Linked DNA regions of Diceros bicornis minor. The protein of the gene in region 3 binds, or shares a complex with, the protein of the main gene of each other region. Links are inferred from orthologs where the notes say so. Each region holds a gene or a part of one and is shown on either strand. Other genes may lie near its edges.

Evidence for each region.
Region 1: EIF4A3 (region 3) and MAGOHB share a complex: the UniProt entries of both Homo sapiens proteins name them as parts of the mRNA splicing-dependent exon junction complex. The link is inferred for Diceros bicornis minor from reciprocal best matches to the Homo sapiens genes EIF4A3 and MAGOHB.
Region 2: EIF4A3 (region 3) and MAGOH share a complex: the UniProt entries of both Homo sapiens proteins name them as parts of the ALYREF/THOC4-EJC-RNA complex. The link is inferred for Diceros bicornis minor from reciprocal best matches to the Homo sapiens genes EIF4A3 and MAGOH.

The regions. Positions count from the first base shown.
Region 1 is NC_080756.1:50,348,301-50,354,012, reverse strand, and holds the start of MAGOHB (protein mago nashi homolog 2), read right to left. Parts: upstream 3,595-5,712; 5' UTR 3,554-3,594; coding exon 3,460-3,553; intron 1,243-3,459; exon of another isoform or gene 1,199-1,242; coding exon 1,140-1,198; intron 448-1,139; coding exon 337-447; intron 1-336. UniProt on the Homo sapiens protein: Required for pre-mRNA splicing as component of the spliceosome. Plays a redundant role with MAGOH in the exon junction complex and in the nonsense-mediated decay (NMD) pathway.
Region 2 is NC_080752.1:15,566,987-15,572,698, forward strand, and holds the start of MAGOH (protein mago nashi homolog), read right to left. Parts: upstream 3,654-5,712; 5' UTR 3,587-3,653; coding exon 3,499-3,586; intron 816-3,498; coding exon 757-815; intron 1-756. UniProt on the Homo sapiens protein: Required for pre-mRNA splicing as component of the spliceosome. Plays a redundant role with MAGOHB as core component of the exon junction complex (EJC) and in the nonsense-mediated decay (NMD) pathway.
Region 3 is NC_080757.1:59,715,917-59,721,628, forward strand, and holds the start of EIF4A3 (eukaryotic initiation factor 4A-III), read right to left. Parts: upstream 4,304-5,712; 5' UTR 4,284-4,303; coding exon 4,115-4,283; intron 1,447-4,114; coding exon 1,374-1,446; intron 704-1,373; coding exon 637-703; intron 1-636. UniProt on the Homo sapiens protein: ATP-dependent RNA helicase. Involved in pre-mRNA splicing as component of the spliceosome. Core component of the splicing-dependent multiprotein exon junction complex (EJC) deposited at splice junctions on mRNAs.

The DNA.
Region 1 (5,712 bases), on a different chromosome or scaffold from region 3:
TTAACAAACACCTGTTCTTATTCCTAATAAAAGTGATTAACATATAATACATATTATTCATAACAATGTGAAAACATGCTAACTTTGTGGTGACTACAGAGGAGACTGTTCAGAAAGATGTCTAAATTTACAGCTATGCATTGCCTCCTTTACTACTGGGAAGTAGCAGAGAAAATGAGGCTAAGTAAAAGAAAATTAAAGAGTATTTCCCAGGTGCCTACTAAACAGAAAACCAAAGAATCAATAAGGATCTATTTTAAATAAATAAAGAGAAACACAACAATTATATTATCAATTTCTAATATTTATGCATTTAAAGAATCACTAAATACAAACCTGTCGGCCAACCCTGTCAGGGGGAGGCCACAAAGCATCGTCTTCTTTTGTAATTTCACTGTCATCAATAATTCTCTTCAGTTCTTCCATTACACTCTTGTGTACATAAGCCTGAAAATAAGTCATAATAAAAATTTCATAATGCTTCTCTATTGTTTCCCACAACTCAGAAGGAAATGACAAAACGTAATTACAAACCCTGAATATTCAAACAGAATATCACAGAAAAATTTAATTATAATTCCAAAAGTACAAGATGGGAGAGAATCATTCATCCTACGTTTTTTCTTCACTCCCTTGCCCTTTCCTTTAATATATATTTTTCCCTCTTCACATCACTAACTCCCTTTTAAAACTCTGTATTCTGCCTTTGTAACATGGGATTCAAACATCTCCAAGCGGTTAATGGTGACAATGCAAAACCTATGAGGTGAACAGAGACAAACGCAAGTGCACATCATAGTGCTCTGAACTTTTTCTTATCTCCAACTTTTAGGCCTTTCATTTAAAGTTCATACTGTGTTTAAATCATGATTATCAATTAACAGTGAATAGAGTAAAATGACAAATTATAAAATGAATTAAATGATATGTTCAAATGTGGGACTACAAATTAATATATTCAGATTGCTTCTTTCGTTGTTACAGATGCTACAATTATACCTGATTTAAGTAGAATCCCTTTTCAATCTATAAATTGGCTTCTTTTTTACAGTACAGCTTAGATATACTTTAGTAAATTCAACACAGACAAGAAGAAAATGAGCTAAATGTAAAAAGTTATACATTCAAAAAAACCTTACCTCTTTTCTGATCATGACATCATTTTTGTAATTGCTGTTGTTGGCATATCTAAGCTTTCCTGTGGGGAGTGGAAAACAATTCAATCTATAACAGCAAAAACTGCTAAAAAAAGATAAATGACATCGTAAGCAATTTTGAACATAAAGACTATTTTATACTACTAGTTTTATTAATATTTCCTCCCTCCTAGCATAAGATCAATGCTAGACATATAAATACTCAAAAATTTACTGGTAAATTGGCTGCAGTTGAAGCTACTCAAATTTTTAAATATTCTATGCCTTTGATATAATTTTTAAATATTCAATATAATTTTTAAGTATTCCACGCCTTCAATGTAATTAAATATAATGGAAGGGCCATTTTCTTAAGCTATGTCATGAACTAGACAGGGAAGCTGAAAAAGGAAGAAACGTTTCTTTTAAAGTTTATTTTATATGTCTGTATTTGTGCTAAGTGATTTACCCAGAGCATTTAATCTAATCTGTAAAACAACCCTAAAATGTAGGTTTTATTCTCTCACCTATTCATAGGTGAGAAAACAGTTAAGTAACTTGCCCAAGGTCACACAAGATGCAGATCTAGATCTACCTTCCTCCAATACTCACGCTTTCCTCGCTACTCCAAAATGTTCTTTTAATTATTTTCTTTCAAATTAATGTATGTATATAATATGGCAATGCTAATAGTTTAGAATCGTGACTAGGAAGCATACAAACTATGTGCTGCTTCTGGATAAAGGCTGGCCAGTTTGTTAGCTGATCTATGTTTAATTTTAATCCATCATGACTTTTGTACTCCCTGATACATGCTTCTCCTCACGCCTAGTCAGTTGTCCAGGTAAAATGTAATGTGGTCCTGATCCTCTAAAATGATAGGTTACCCTAATGAGGTGAATCCCTTAGGAATCACTGTCTTTGTGAGTCACTATTACTGATCAAAGTACGTGGATGGTGTGGTGGCAGACAAATGGATGAGAACCACTGTTCAGGCATGAAATTTCCCTGATAATAATAGACAATTTATGTCACTGGATAAAAGTAACATGAACAAGCTAAATGATGTTCACAGACAAACGCACTGAAAACAATATCACAAAAGGAAAGAACAGATAGAGAATTCAGGTAAATTGGCTCTTTAGCTACATTTGGAAGAGATCTGAGAATAAGGTGATGAAAGTTTCTAAATAATTGCAGGGTTCTAGTTCCTTACGTTCTGCCTGAAACGTCTGATACTCTTCCCCTTTTGTAATATGTGATCCTCTCCTAATTTTTCTTTCATGCTTTCACAGAACTTTGTCCAAAGCATGAACATAGCACCTAACACTTAATATCCATACTGCTTTATGGTTAGTTTCATGTCTGTGTCCCTCATCAAAACATTTAACTCCTTGAGGATAATTAAAGTCTTACTCGTTGTAAATTCAATTTTCGTATTTACACGTAGCCCAGCAAATAATATGCTTTCAAAAAAGAAACGTCTACGCAGTTGGACCGTCCTTGTTTCCAGAAGAGTTCAGTATACAACAACACTCTCTAAAGAGAATCAGAGCTGTGAAAAGATAGACTCTGCTTCACACTACATGGGCAGCAGGCAGTTCCACCTCGCCCTAGGCTCAGGCAGCTCTCAGCAGTCTGACTTTTTTTCTCAGAGGCCAAGAAAATACCTACTCTCATTTCAAGACTCATCTCAACTGTCACCTTCTCTAGAAAGTTTTCCCCGATTCCTTCATGTAGAACTAACCGCTCGCCTTTTTTTATATTCTTAATACATCCAATGAAGAATAACTGTATTTAAGTACGCAAAACACTCATTTTTCTACACGTCGAGCGCCCCCCTTCGGAGCAGGTCTCCTTCGTTTTTCGACATGTTGCCTTACATACAGCGCCTGAATGAATAAAATGGATGAATGGGTAGTCGGAAAGTTACTGGTCCGGGAAGATTGTAAGTATCCATCGGACCACCGCGTGGTGGGGTGTTCTTAAAAATGTTCAAGCACGTATTAGGTCGATAAACCAGATGGCATTGAAAGTCTCTTCCGGTGTGCTGATTCTAGGATTCTGATTAACGTGGGTTCAGCTTTTCAGTATCTGGCATGAGTGGCTTTTCTGAATTAATTTCCACCCTTTAATTATCTTTTATTCACAAAACCAATTTAACCTCTTATATTCCTTAGCTCCTCTTTACTTCGTCTCAAGCAGCGCTTGCAAACCCGCGGAGGCTCGCACACCCCACCCCGCCTCCTCCGCGGCCAGCCCCGAGCTTCCCCGAGCTCAGCGCCGCGCTGGGTGCGGCCCCGGCGGCCACTCCTCTGCTCACCGTCGGGCCGAAACTCAAACTCCAGAAACTCGTGTCCAAATTTTCCCTTGTGCCCTACGTAGTAGCGCAGGTAAAAATCGCTGGCCATAGCCATTTTCGTTCCCGGAAAGCCCGCCGAAGGCCTGGCCACCGTGCCGCCGGGCGCCTGGCAGTGACGTCAGTCGCCCAGGATAAAATCGTCACCACGGGCGCGCCCTTTCCGCCTCCCGGGTCCCCAGGGGAAAGGGGGAAGGTGGCGTCTCGGAGAGACCCGGAGGTACGGGATGGAGGGTAGTAGCGACGTGTATGTAGCTTTACTAGGATTGGAAGCACATTACTTTCCAAATTAAATAGATCCAATTATATTAGCAAAGCAGAGAAGTGTGAAAATACGATAGCCTTTTTTATGGGCTTAGGAAGAAGGTATGCAAATCGCTTTTTCCGAGTCTCTAATTCTCGCGGGATTTTTTGAGCTTGCTGTGGCATCATTCCCCTTTAAATGGTGGGATGAGTAAAGATAAAGCCCAGAATAGGTGGCAGACTTGGATACAACGCTTTCTCCTGGTAGGTTTCTAACACGGGGCTTTCCCCTTTGGACAAGGATTGCTAGTTATCCGGCAGCTAGAAACCTGTAATAATAGAGACAAAGTAGAAAGAATCCATCAGACAAAAGGTGTGAAATTTTGAAAGGCACATTGACACTGAAAATTCCTTACAGTCATGGTATAAAAGAGTTCCTTTTAATAGCAAAACTTCTTTCATTCAGTAAAGGTTAATCTTCAGTGGCCTGTGGAGTGTTGGCAATATGACTTAAAATCAAATGTTTTAGCCCACGTTTCCTACCAAATAAAACTAAATTGGAGAAGTGAACGAATGCTCTAGTGTGGGATGGAGCTTGAATAATGAGGAAACACAGGGTGAGCTTTTACACAGTCTATTCTTCAAATATTAATGACCACCCTCCTTTTATCAACACACAAACTAATCCTGCCTGTTGGGTGACCTTTAACCTCCAGTGGGATTTAGTAGAAAGAGTGGCTGTCAGAAGACCTGGGATTCATTCCCAACACGTACCTCTACCTAACCTTGGTCACGTCACTATCTCTGAGCCTGTTTGTTCATCAACCAAGTGAATATTCTACAGTCAATTTTTCCAAGCTCACAGAATTGTTGAGAGGATCAAATGAGGTACTGCATGTAAAATAAACTTTAAAATTTATAAAACATTATATAATGAGTTTGTCAAAACTCATTGACAAGCATTTCCTATGTGCCAGAAAGGGTTGGACACTAGTAATAAAAAGATAGAGCCCTTTGCACTTGTAGTCTGTAAAAGAAAGCAAACATGTAGACCAATAATTGCACAAGGTAGCAATTGGTATAAGAAAGAATTTTTTTAAGTGCTGGTAGTACACAGAGGAAGCAAGTCACTTTATTGGAGAATAGAGGAAGTTGAAGAAAGGGAAGTATCAGGGAAGGCTTGTGACAAAATGTGCTATTTGAATAGGACCTTGTTGGATAAGTTCAGTATATGTTCAGAGGGATGGGAAAGCATTTCAGGAAGAAAACAGCCTGAGCAAAGACACAGTTGTATGAAAATGCGTGATGTGGGAAAGCCAAAAAATTTAGTATAGCTAGAACATAAGGTTCATGTAAGTGGAAAAACTAGAAAGGCAGACTGGGCCAGGTTATGTTGAGTCTATATTAATTGTATAACTGTCAATATAGAAATCCATATTAACCATTGTATAAGTGTTAATATAGAAAAATTATTCAGTTCGTACTATAGGCTGCCATTATGGAAAATACACAAGAAACATAAAGAACCATCCCTTAACACTGGGGTGAAAATTAACCATTTCACTTTGCCCAGGACTGAGGAGTTTCCTCAGATGAGGGACTTTCAGTTTTAAAACCTGGAAAGTCCCAGGCAAACTAAAATGAATTGGTCACTGTACTTACTACAAGAATACCGCACAGAAATTGGACCACACTGTTGCATAGTATCTCTGAAAATATAGGCATAATCCATTTGTTTTGTGGGAGTTTTTTTGTAGGGAGCCTCATTCAGTATCTTTCGATTCCCTAATGCATTTATTCAGATTTTTGGCACATGTGCCAGTGTTCATCCTCATGCCTACTGGAATAGAGCTACAGCTACCAGAACTGTGACTACGGAACTTAAGGAATATACAGTGTTAAGAACTTTATCTGTGGGCCAATTGTTGTCTTTATCCCCTAAAAAGACTCCTGAGCTCAAGACTAATCCTTTCT
Region 2 (5,712 bases), on a different chromosome or scaffold from region 3:
GTTAAGACATTTGAGACAAGATGGTTAAAAAGAAAGAGTAGCTTTGATGAAACCTAACGGTGTGGTAGAAATCAGGGCACAATGGAGCACATGGACTTGACAGAGGCAGGCACAGGTCTGAACTTCCCTTCTATCTCTTACTTGCAAGCCCCATAATTAACATCTGGGCCTTCATTTTCTTATCTGTAAAGGGTATATAATACCACCCATCACACAGACTTACAATCAGGGTTAAATAAGATCAGGTATGTAAAATACCTAGTGCCACACCTGGCATTGAACATGCATTCAATGATGTTAACTGCTTTCCCATGCTCCCTTTCCCCATTCAGATGCAAATTAAATAGCTCTCTCTATTGAGTGCTATGTGCCAAAGAATATACCAAACACTTTAAGTATTACATATTTAATTCCACAACAGCACTGGGGGAGTAGAGAGTAGGTTTTATTATTTCTGTCTTTGCAGATGAACAAACTGAGACTTATCGAGTTCAGCCAGGGAAACTGCCCAAGGTCACATGGTTAGTAAGTAGCAGATTCAGGGTTCAAACCAAGATTCAAATGATTACCAGTAATTGACTCAGCATAGTGAAAGAAAATATAAACTAAAAGAAGATTTGAGAAAAACTTTAAAAGCAGTCTACAGACATGTGTCTATACTTCTCTATTCTTTATCTTTCAACACTACTCCCAGAAAGAACAAAAATACAAAAGGCTAAACTGTAGTGAATGAAAGGCTCTCAGAAGGCTCATTACCTCTTTTCTGATCATGACATCATTTTTGTAATTGCTGTTGTTGGCATATCTCAATTTCCCTGTGAGGGACAAAAAACAAATTCAATGTATAATAAAAACAAATGAATAGAGCATTTAGCCTACCAACACTATCAGCTGTTGCTTAAAATGTATCCTAACTGTCCCTTCAAAGTGTCTAACAGATTTACTATTTACACCTTTGGTGTTTCAACAATACTAGTTTTTTCAGTTCTTCACTTTAATTAAATAGCCTCACAGCCAAAAATACAGCTGACACTGAATTACAGTTCTTGCAAAAGGCAGCTCAGGTGTGATAAAAGAACATCAGCAGGCTCTTGGTGACTTGGGCAAATCATCTCTCTGCAGATTAATGTCCTCAGCTGAAAATAAAGATAATAATTGATAACTTACCTGCACACAGGGCCTCCTGAGGCTTAAATGAGTCGTAGAAAGCATTCTGAAAACTGTAAAATACTGTTTGCATATATTATCATGTGACCGTGCAACACTCTGATTTATTCTGGTGATGGAAAAGTTGTGGTTTTATTATTGCACGTTTGGTATACTAGCCTTTTGTGCATATGTGCATCCAACAGGCTAATTTGGGTATATGGTGGGTACGAATGAGAAGATAAAAGAAAACAGATGATTTCTTCTCTGTAGAATAGAGGCATACATGTGCGAAGAGTCAAATTATTTCCACAGCCTCTGCACTGTCAGTCTCATCTCCCTCCTTTCGGTTTACTCTCCATACAGTGGACAAAGTGATGTAGTAACAATCTGTCTGATTAGGTTACTCTAATATTTTGATACTGACAATGGTTTCCCACTGTCTTCTTGATAAAATCCAAATTCCTCAACATGGCATACTGCTAAGCTGAGCCCCTCCCTGCCTTTCCAGTGTCACTCCTGCAAGATTCCTCTCTCACACGGCCGGAGTTAATCGAACTACTTGGTTTCTGCCCAATACATGCCATGCCCCTTTTTGGTTTTCAGCCTCTGCCTTTAATGCTGTCCAAAATGCCTTTTATTTATTTATTTATTTTTTTGTGAGGAAGATCGGCCCTGAGCTAACATCTGCCAATCCTCCTCTTTTTGCTGAGGAAGACTGGCCCTGGGCTAACATCCATGCCCATCTTCCTCCACTTTATATGGGACGCCGCCACAGCATGGCTTGACAAGCGGTGCGTCGGTGCGCACCCAGGATTCCGAACCGGCAAACCCGGGGCAGCCACAGTGGAGCGCGTGCACTTAACCGCTTGCGCCAACCGGGCCGGCCCATATTTATTTATTTTTTTGCAGGGAAAGAGTCGCCCTGGGCCAACATCTGTTGCCAATTTTCTCTTTTTTTTTTCCCCTCCCCAAAGCCCCAGTACGTGGTTGTACATCCCAGTTGTAAGTCTTGCTAGTTCTTCTATATGAGCTGCCGCCACAGCATGGCAACTGACAGACACGTGGTGTGGTTCCGAGACCGGGAAGCCAACCCGGGCCTCGAAGCAGTGAGCACCCAACTTTAACCACTAGGCCATCAGGGCTGGCTCCAAAATGCCTTCTTGACTGTCATCTGCCTAACCAACCCCTACACATTACTAAAGACTTACACCCCCTCTGCCCCAAGTCATTTTATGCAGGAAGCCTTCTCTGACCCTCCGGCTAGGTTAGGTGCCTTCTTTCTGCTCCCAGAGTCTCTTCCATTTCTTTCTACCACAGCACCTATTACATTGTTTTTTCACTGTTTCTTTACAAATCTTTCTCCTTCACAATTGGGGCTTGTCAGATTCATCTCCATGCCCCCATTTAGGGGGAGATTTCTGTCATCTTTGATTCCTCTTTCCTTCACCACAGTGCCCCCTCCCCCAAATTCTATCAGCAAAGTCCTATTGGTTCTGTCTCCCACAGCATCGTAAATTCTTTTCTCCACTTTGTTTCCCCTCTTGCCCATTCTGCACCCAATAATTAGAATACTTTTTCAAGAACAGATCACATCTCTTCTCTGCTTAAAACTTTCCAAGTGTTTCCTGCTGCGCTTAAAATAAAATCCAAACTCTTTACCACCGCCCATAAAGACCTACGTGGTGTGACCCCTGCCTACTTATCCGATATCATCTCATATTATTCTCTCCAGAGCTCACTACTCTTCAGTCACATTGGACACCTAAAACATGCCTAGCTCATTCCTGCCCTATGGCCTTGACACCTGTTATTCCGTTTAGTCTAGAATGCTCTTCCTTCTGAGCTTCACAAGGCTGGCTCCTTCTTGTCAATCAGGGCTGAGTTCAAATTTCCCCTCTTCAGAGAGCTCTCCAATGGCCACTCTATCTAAAAGCAGCCCACTCGCAATTATTCCATCATTTTGTTTTATTTTCTGACCACTCATCACTATCTGGAATCTTTTTTGTTTATGATCTCTCTCCCAGCACTTGACTGCAAGTTCCACGCAGAGGAAGCTTGTCTATCGCTCACTCCCGTATCCCAGATTGTGGAACAGAACCTGGCGCGAAGTGGGCGTTCAATCAATGTTTGTTAATGAAAGCACTCTGGTCAAAAATGTCACTAAACAGAAGTCCCTGCACATGGACAAAACAACCAGCGGGGAGGACACAGGCGCGTTCCTTTCAGATCCGCACTGCACACATCTCATTCCCTTCTCCTAGTTCCTCGCACTTCCCGGACCCCAGGCCTCCCGACTCGCCCGCCCCCAGGCCTAGTCCTCACTCCCGGGAGGCGGGAGGCCGCTCTTACCGTCGGGTCGGAACTCAAACTCCAAGAACTCGTGGCCGAACTTGCCCTTGTGACCCACGTAGTAACGCAGATAAAAGTCACTCTCCATGGCTCGCAAAAACTAACCGAGACCGAACTTTAACAGCGACCCACACCGCCGCCGTATGCGCCCGATACTGACGTTTACGGCGGCGCGCGGAAGTGACGTCAAGGCAACGCCGTCGCCCGTGGAGGAGGGCTTCCTCCACCCCCGCGCCCGGAGGTGGGGACGAGTCTGCCCAGCCTTCCGGCGGAAACATGGCGCCTTTCATCCGGGGGCGGGGTCAGCGCAGCCCCGCCCCCCAGCCCGAGGCGGGAACACGGCTGGGGCTCGGCCGCCCGGGTTCTCCGAGGCGTGAGGGCAAGGCGTCCGAGGGCCTCTGGGCTTCGGCGGGGCGTCTGGACACCTCGCCTCAAGACCTGGGGGTGAAGCCCCAGAGTCCTGCGTCCGTCCGGGGCCAGCCTCCATTGAAAAGGCACCCGACTTGTGTGAGTCGGACAAGGCCCTTCACCGTCTCTGGACCTAGGTCGCCTCGACAGTGAAATGGGGTAAAATGACCCGACCTCACAGGAGAGCGCCGCGCACGACGGTGCGTGTGTCCAAAGCTGCCTCCGACCGGTTCAGGACCGTTGTCGGCGACGCTTTCCGAGTGCACAGTGGAGACCGCCATTTCCCTGAAACTAAGGCGCGCGCGCGCTTTCCCCCCATTTTATCTCTTTCTACCTTTTAATTTCTCCCTTTCCCTCTCTACCTCACTGGTCTCTAGAGCACGTGCTGTGTGTAGAAGTTGAATATTTGGTGTCCCACTCCCCAGTCTCTGCAGTGCTTACCCAGCGGTGATTGCCAGCCCTGGCTGCAGGGGAGAATCACCTCAAACAGCTAAAAAGTACTGAGCCGGCGCCCCGCCCCAAACCAGTTAGATCAAAATCTCTCCCGGTGGCCCTGGGCGTCCGGATTTTTTTTTTTTATAGTTGTTTTTTTATTGTGAAATTTTTGTTGTACGTTATTGTCAGTCACCATATAAGTGCATCCCTCCACCCGTGTCCACCCCCCACCCCCCTAGACCTGGGCGTCCGGATTTTTCTGCAAAGCTCTCCGGGTTGCTCAAGGTTAAGGACTACTGCCCAAGAGGCTCTACAAAGTGGTTGACCTCTGTGAAGGCTTTCTGGCTGTGAGAAAATTTTACTTGTCGAATAGGCCAAGGGCGATCAAATCCTAATTATGGAAGCCTGCCTTAGCTCATGCAAGTTCCAGCCACAGGGGGAATGGAATCGGTTCTCGAGAGAGTGCTGAGATAGCATCGTTCTCAGGGCCTGGTGACTATAACTGTATGCTAATCAGGCCAGGGGTCTCTGATTCTCATTCTCGGTCTTGCCACTACTCCTTTTCTCCCTGAAAAAGCATTGGTGGCAGAGTGTGGAGTGGGTGTATGTGGGGGGGGGGGCAAGTCACTGGAGACTTCAGTTAAAATATCCCTTGTGTGACAGTGATTGACTGTGACCGAAGGTGAACTGATTGAATTTTTCGGACCTTAGGTTCCTTATCTTTAAAATGAACATAATAATGTTAGATACCAGGCAGAACTGTTGTAAGGATAAGAAACAATGTCTTGGAAATTGGAAAACTGTACATTGGTATAAAACCATAAGGCATTTTATTACAAAACACTGGATATGGGTGGTAACAAGGGAATTATAAAAAAAGAGAAAGGACTCACCAGGTATTAAACACCTAATAAATGTCAGCTCCTAGGTTGAGCCCATTTACAAGTACTTGTTCTTTGAATTTTCAGAACCATCTTGAGGTGGTAATTGGAGTTAAGTATATAGAGACATCAGGTAATTACTACAAGGTTATTTCCCAAGAGTGAAATTATAATGTAACTGGTGAATCTGGGCATCTGTAGATGTGGCAAATAACGAAAGTGCTGAGAAAATTTAAGACACCAGACTCCAGTCAGGCTGTAAAGTGATCCAGTTTTTTGGGTATGAGACAACATGGTATAGCTGAAAGAGCATAGTCTGTGTGTCTGATGTGCCTGAATTCAGCATAATTTACTGAGTATCTACTGCGTCGTGTGCTGGGGATACAATGGTGAGCAGGGCAGACCTTTATAGAGCTTGCAGAGGAGGCAATTAAGGAGCATACAAGCAATTATAATGTAGGAATAAAGGTTACAAATAGGGGAAGCACAG
Region 3 (5,712 bases):
CTGCATTAATTTACACTCAGATCTATTTCGAATATTATCTCACATTCACCACACATCTGATTTCTAACAGAGGTAAGCAAACCTGAATGTTACTCAAACCACAAACCCAGTAATAATGGGGTATACTGGTCAGGATTCTTGTTTGCACACAAGAATTTCCACTAGTTTAAAAAATCTCCCGCTTTAAATAAAAAGAAATTTATGACAGGGCATTAGCTCAGACATTAGTGTGCAATTAAGATTTTCTTAAAAAATTTGAGTCAGTACAATTAGAGAAATTTAAAAACTGCACTTTTTTTTTTTTTTGAGGAACATTGGCCCTACACTAACGTCTGTTGTCAATCTTCTTCTTTCTTCTTTTTTCTCCCCAAAACATAGTTGTGCATCATAGTTGTAGAGTTGTAGCTCTTCTATATGGGACGCCGCCTCAGCATGGCTTGATGAGCGGTGAGTAGGTCCGAGCCCAGGATCCAAACTGGTGAACCCCAGGGCGCCAAAGTGGAACACATGAGCTTAACTGCTACGCCACCAGGCCGGCCTCCTAAAAACTGCACTTTTTGAACACTGCAGTTACCATAGAAAAATGAAGTATTTCCTAAGATTAAAGAGAGGTTTGTTTTAAGAGTGGCAAATTACCTGAATATCCAAACACTGGAGGACGGAAATACTGAAGGTGGCTGTTTTGCCTGTACCAGACTGAGATCTAGTAAAGAAAACACAAATGGGATTTAGAATGCTGGGCCACCTGCCACTGTGCCCATTCATATAAGCCCCCCCACAGCAGTGCTCCAGGGGCAGGGGCAGAAGCACTTGGCAGCTTCTTCCAAGCAGACGCCTCCCGACCCCCCACAAAAGACCATCAATATCTTAACTGCAAGGGCGGGACTCAGGCACCGTGTCACAACTTTTAAATCACTGGTGATGAGCACAGCAGATGTGGCTTTTGCATCAGGGGGTGATGGAGCTACAGAAGCTGTAACTCCAACAAGTGTTAGAGGTGGCAGAAAAGAGAGATTCCCCTTTATGTAACTATAATTCTTTTCTTTGAGTTTGGAATGAAACTATCCTCCAAAAATATATTTTTTTTTTTTGTAAATGAGTCTTTAAAAATTAGGCACCAGGAATAAAGCTATTAAAAGAGCATTATATACAATTTCACATGCTGACTGACATGTAAGTAAAGCTAGCTAAAAAAATGAAGGCTTTCCAAAGTAGAAGACACAAACATAAACACAAACAAAACACCCTGTGGCTAAAGTCAAGGAAAGAGTTGGTAAGGAGTGTATGAAAACTGACAAAAATGGTCATCCCAAAGCATGAACCACCCTTTGCTTTCCTAGCATCTCATTCCCACTCTGTGTGAGCAGACTTACTGTGCGATGACATCTCTCCCTTTAATTATCTGCTTGATAGCTCGCTGCTGGATTGCTGAGGGTTTTTCAAAACCTGTAAATAAAAACAAAAAATTAGCCCTAACCACCAGGACAGCATGTTTACAACCATACAGTGTAGGCTCCTCGGGGCAGAAATGGTATCTTTTTTTAACTCCCCACTCCCACCCTCGCCTAACCCAATGTCTAACACACTGAGCTCTCAAGAAACAGCTGCTGAATGAATTGGGCTGAAGTAGATTTTTATTATACTGACTAACGGGGGATCTTATTTATACAGACAAAATCTCTGTAAAAGGAACATGACTGCAGAATATAGAGACCTCAGTCAGTTAAAAAGAAAATGTTGGGACTGGCCCAGCGGCGCAAGCGGTTAAGTGCGTGCGCCGCCGCTGCGGCGGCCCGGGGTTCGCCGGTTCGGATCCCTGGCGCACATGGAGGCACCGCTTGGCAAGCTATGCTGTGGCGGCGTCCCATATAAAGTGGAGGAATATGGGCACGGATGTTAGCCCAGAGCCAGTCTTCCTCAGCAAAAAACGAGGAGGATTGTCAGATGTTAGCACAGGGCTGATCCTCCTCACACACACCAAAAAAAAACCCAAAATGTTAGCGGTGGTACCTCTGGAGAATGGGTTGGGGAGGCTCACTTTTTACTCCAATTACTTCTGTATTGTTTGACTACATTACAATAACCTGCAATGCTTTTTTTTTGTATTACTTTTTAAATTATACAAAGGAAAATAAACCCATCAGCGCTGTAGTCAGCCCTCCTTCCCATGTGGGTTGTTCACATTGTCTACAACTACATTTAATCTACCGTGCGGGTCGTACTGCAGGGTGTCCAGCACTGTACTCCTCCCTGACTTGATGTAGCTACATGAACTACAACACCACCCCTCTTGCATAGCAATTACCAAGGCATGAGGCCACTCTGAAGGAGTAAAAGTATTTTCCAAATAAACAAAACTTATGTACAAAAACTGTATTTTAATTATTTTTTGGTAGTATAATTTCCCATCTAGCACAAAAGCAAACACCACAGATGATTTAAACTCCTCATGATGACCAATGGGAAACTAAAAACCGTGTTTTAGGGCAGGGATGCCCTGGGTGCCTAGAGGCACGTAGGGCTGTCAGCCTCACTCAGGCCAGGCTGCAATGGTTCTTTCACCTCCCGTTCCCTCAGCACCTTCTCTTTGCTCTATCCAAACTGCCATGACATCAGGACTGCTGGATAAAAGACATCCCAGGCGTTAAGCAGACGCTGATCACTCCCACCTGCACCTCCAACACCACCGATCTTCCTCAGCTCCCAACTTAGACAACTGCCTTCCCGACATCTCCAAATGGATGGCTCACAGGCCCCTCAAGGTCACCACATCCAAGACAGAGCTTCCCACTTTGCCTCCCTCGAGCGCTCCCCACCTAAGCAAGCATGCTGCCCGTTACTCACAACACCCAGGAATCACGTGAGTCCTCCTTCCTCTGCCGCTCCCATTCAACCCATCAGGGAACCCTGTTAGTACTCCACCTCGGCCACAATGCCATCATCTCTCCCCTGGACTGGAACAAAAGCCTCTAACTCATCGCCCTGCTTCCTCTCCTGCCTCAACTCCCCTCAAATCCTCCCCTCAAATCCACAGACACCCAGGATAACCTCTGTAACTGTAATCGTCTCACTTTCCTGATTAAAATCCTCCACTGGCTTCCCACCACACTTAGAAATAAAATTCAGGGGCCGGCCCGGTGACGCAAGCGGTTAAGTGCACGCGTTCTGCTGGGGCGGCCCCGAGGTTCGCTGGTTCGGATCCCGGGCGTGCACCGACGCACTGCCTGGCAAGCCATGCTGTGCCGCATCCCATATGAAGTGGAGGAAGATGGGCACGGATGTTAGCACAGGGCCAGTCTTCCTCAGCAAAAAAAAGAGGAGGATTGGCAGATGTTAGCACAGGGCTGATCTCCTCACAAAAAAAAAAAAAGAAATAAAATTCAAGTTCTTGATCATCTCATATGATCCTCTGCAAGATCTGGCCCCTGCCTCTCTCTCCAAACTCGCCCCTGGGCTCTCACGACAGGAAGCTTCTTTCTGCTCCTAGAATCACTCAGCTCAGGGCTACAGGGCCCTGGCACCAGCTGCTCCCTCTGTCCAGTACTACCATAGTCTTCTCATAAGGGCTCCTTAATCCAGATGTCAGCTCAAATGTCAGCCCCTTCTGGGAGACCTCTCATCTATTTTCTCTATGTATTGTAACTCTCTTTTCCCTCCAATCACACTTCATTCAATTATCCCGCTTTATTTTCTCTAGAGCCATTACCACTACCTGAAGCAGCCTAGGCTCTATGCCGTCTGTCTCCCAAACATAACTTAAGCTACCTAAGGGCACGAGCCTGTCTGGTCCACTGCTAAACCCTCAGTGCCTAGAGCCGCGCACGTCCGGAGCACCTGGCAGGTACAGGACAGTTATCCGCGGAACGAATGACTCCGAAGGGCCCGGAAGGCTTTGCAGCCCTCGCTGGACCAGCACGGTGCTCTGCATCGAGGACAAAACCGAACCCACCGACGCAAACGCGGTAGTGGATGGCGTGCTGCGGGCGGGGGTCGCCCGTCAGCGGCTCGGCCTCGGCTCCAACCCCCGGCCTCCGGGGCCTGCCCGGGACTCGCAGTCTCAGCCTCACTCCCGCCCGCATCCCCGGCTAACGGCCCGCGGCCCGCGCCCACCGACCATAGGCGTAGATGCCGCGCAGTAGGTCCTCCCGCAGGCCCATGGTGTCGAACGTGGGGGTCACGTCCACCTCCTCGCTGGTCTCGAATTCCACTTTGGTCATGTCTTCCTCTTTGAGCAACCGCTTCCGCGCCGAGCCCGAAGTCGCCATCGTGGCCGTGGCCGCCATGATCCCGACTCGGCTAACAGCAGAGCGCGCGCCGCAGCGGAAAGCGGAAGCAAAGCCCTGCGCCTGCGCCACCGCCGCCGCCGCCAGGAACTGACGCGTGCTTGCATGCGTGCGTGCGTAAGAGCGTGCGTACGAGCGTGCGTCGGGGCCGCATCTCGCGAGGAGCGGGGCCTCCTCTTCATTGAAAGGGGAAAGGGAGCTTGAGGCAGGGAAAGGGGCGGTGCTGCTGCTCCTGCTCTCGCGATGTGAGATCCTGCGATATCTCGCAAGGGGCGGGACTCCGCCCACCCCGTATAAAAAGTGCCGAGGGGCGGGCTGACCCGGGATGTGTGAAATGGACGTTTGGAAGGTTTGAGGTGGTGGTGGCGGGTTCTGACATGTTTCCGAACGGGACGGTAGACTCGGAGCCCCGGAAGACCGGCTGCGGGCCAAGCCAGGGCGCCTCTGCTCCGGGCCGGGTCTCCAGGCGGCCATGCCTCGAATGGGAACCTGGCGCGGGTCCCCAGATGCGCACACTCCCGCGTTTATACGCTTCTTCCGACCTTATCGCCGACCTGGGTCGGAGGCGCGCGGCTCGTGGTGGGGAAAGCATTATTCTCATTATTACCGACGCCAGAGGTAAATCCTCACTGCTAGTAGTTGGAAATAGTCTACTGTCGGAAAATCTGGCGGTTTTTGACTGCCTTTTTGTCAGCTCTGGTTGAGTGGCCCCTAATGGAAAAGCCGCTACCCGGGGTCGAGCGTGTCGAGAGAAAGTGCCCACGCTTGGGGATGCGGACAGTGGAGTCTCGACGTCCCCGGACCCCCGGGACGGGCTGCGTGACCTGGGGACGCGCCTCTGTTTGACTGCAGCTCGCGGGTCATTCTGCGTCTGGTGGAGGCGCTAATCGACCCTGCCCTGCAGGAGGAATCGCCCCGGAGGCGATGGCTCTTTGTTGCCTGTAGAGCGTTAACCTGTTATACCCTCTTACCCTGAACTTAAGTGTCTGAATACCGACTCCTCAAAACGCTTCTGAAGCAGCTTCGCCCCCTGACTGTGTTCATCCTGTGTTGTGTGAAAATGATGTTTTTAATTTCGGGAAGGTTACACTCTCGCAAGTGTCAGCTCTGTCCTTTCTCGTTGTTTGCTTGGCTCGCATCACTGGGCATGGCTTTAATCCACCGCCTCCTTCCAGGAGAGCTTGAACCCTCTCCTGTTGGGAAGGTTAGTTTAGTTAAAACTGGCTCGTCGTTTCATCTTCTAAACCAGGCACATGGAGAGTGCAGTGGGTTGCAATAGATTGACAGCAAACAAGTAAGTGACGGTTTAGTTCTCGAAAAGCTCTCGTTCTGACCTCAGAATATGTCCAAACCTTATAAGGTAATTGATGTGATGAACATGCCTATGAAGGATGCCAGTATTAATCAAATATTTATGAAGCTGGACTTC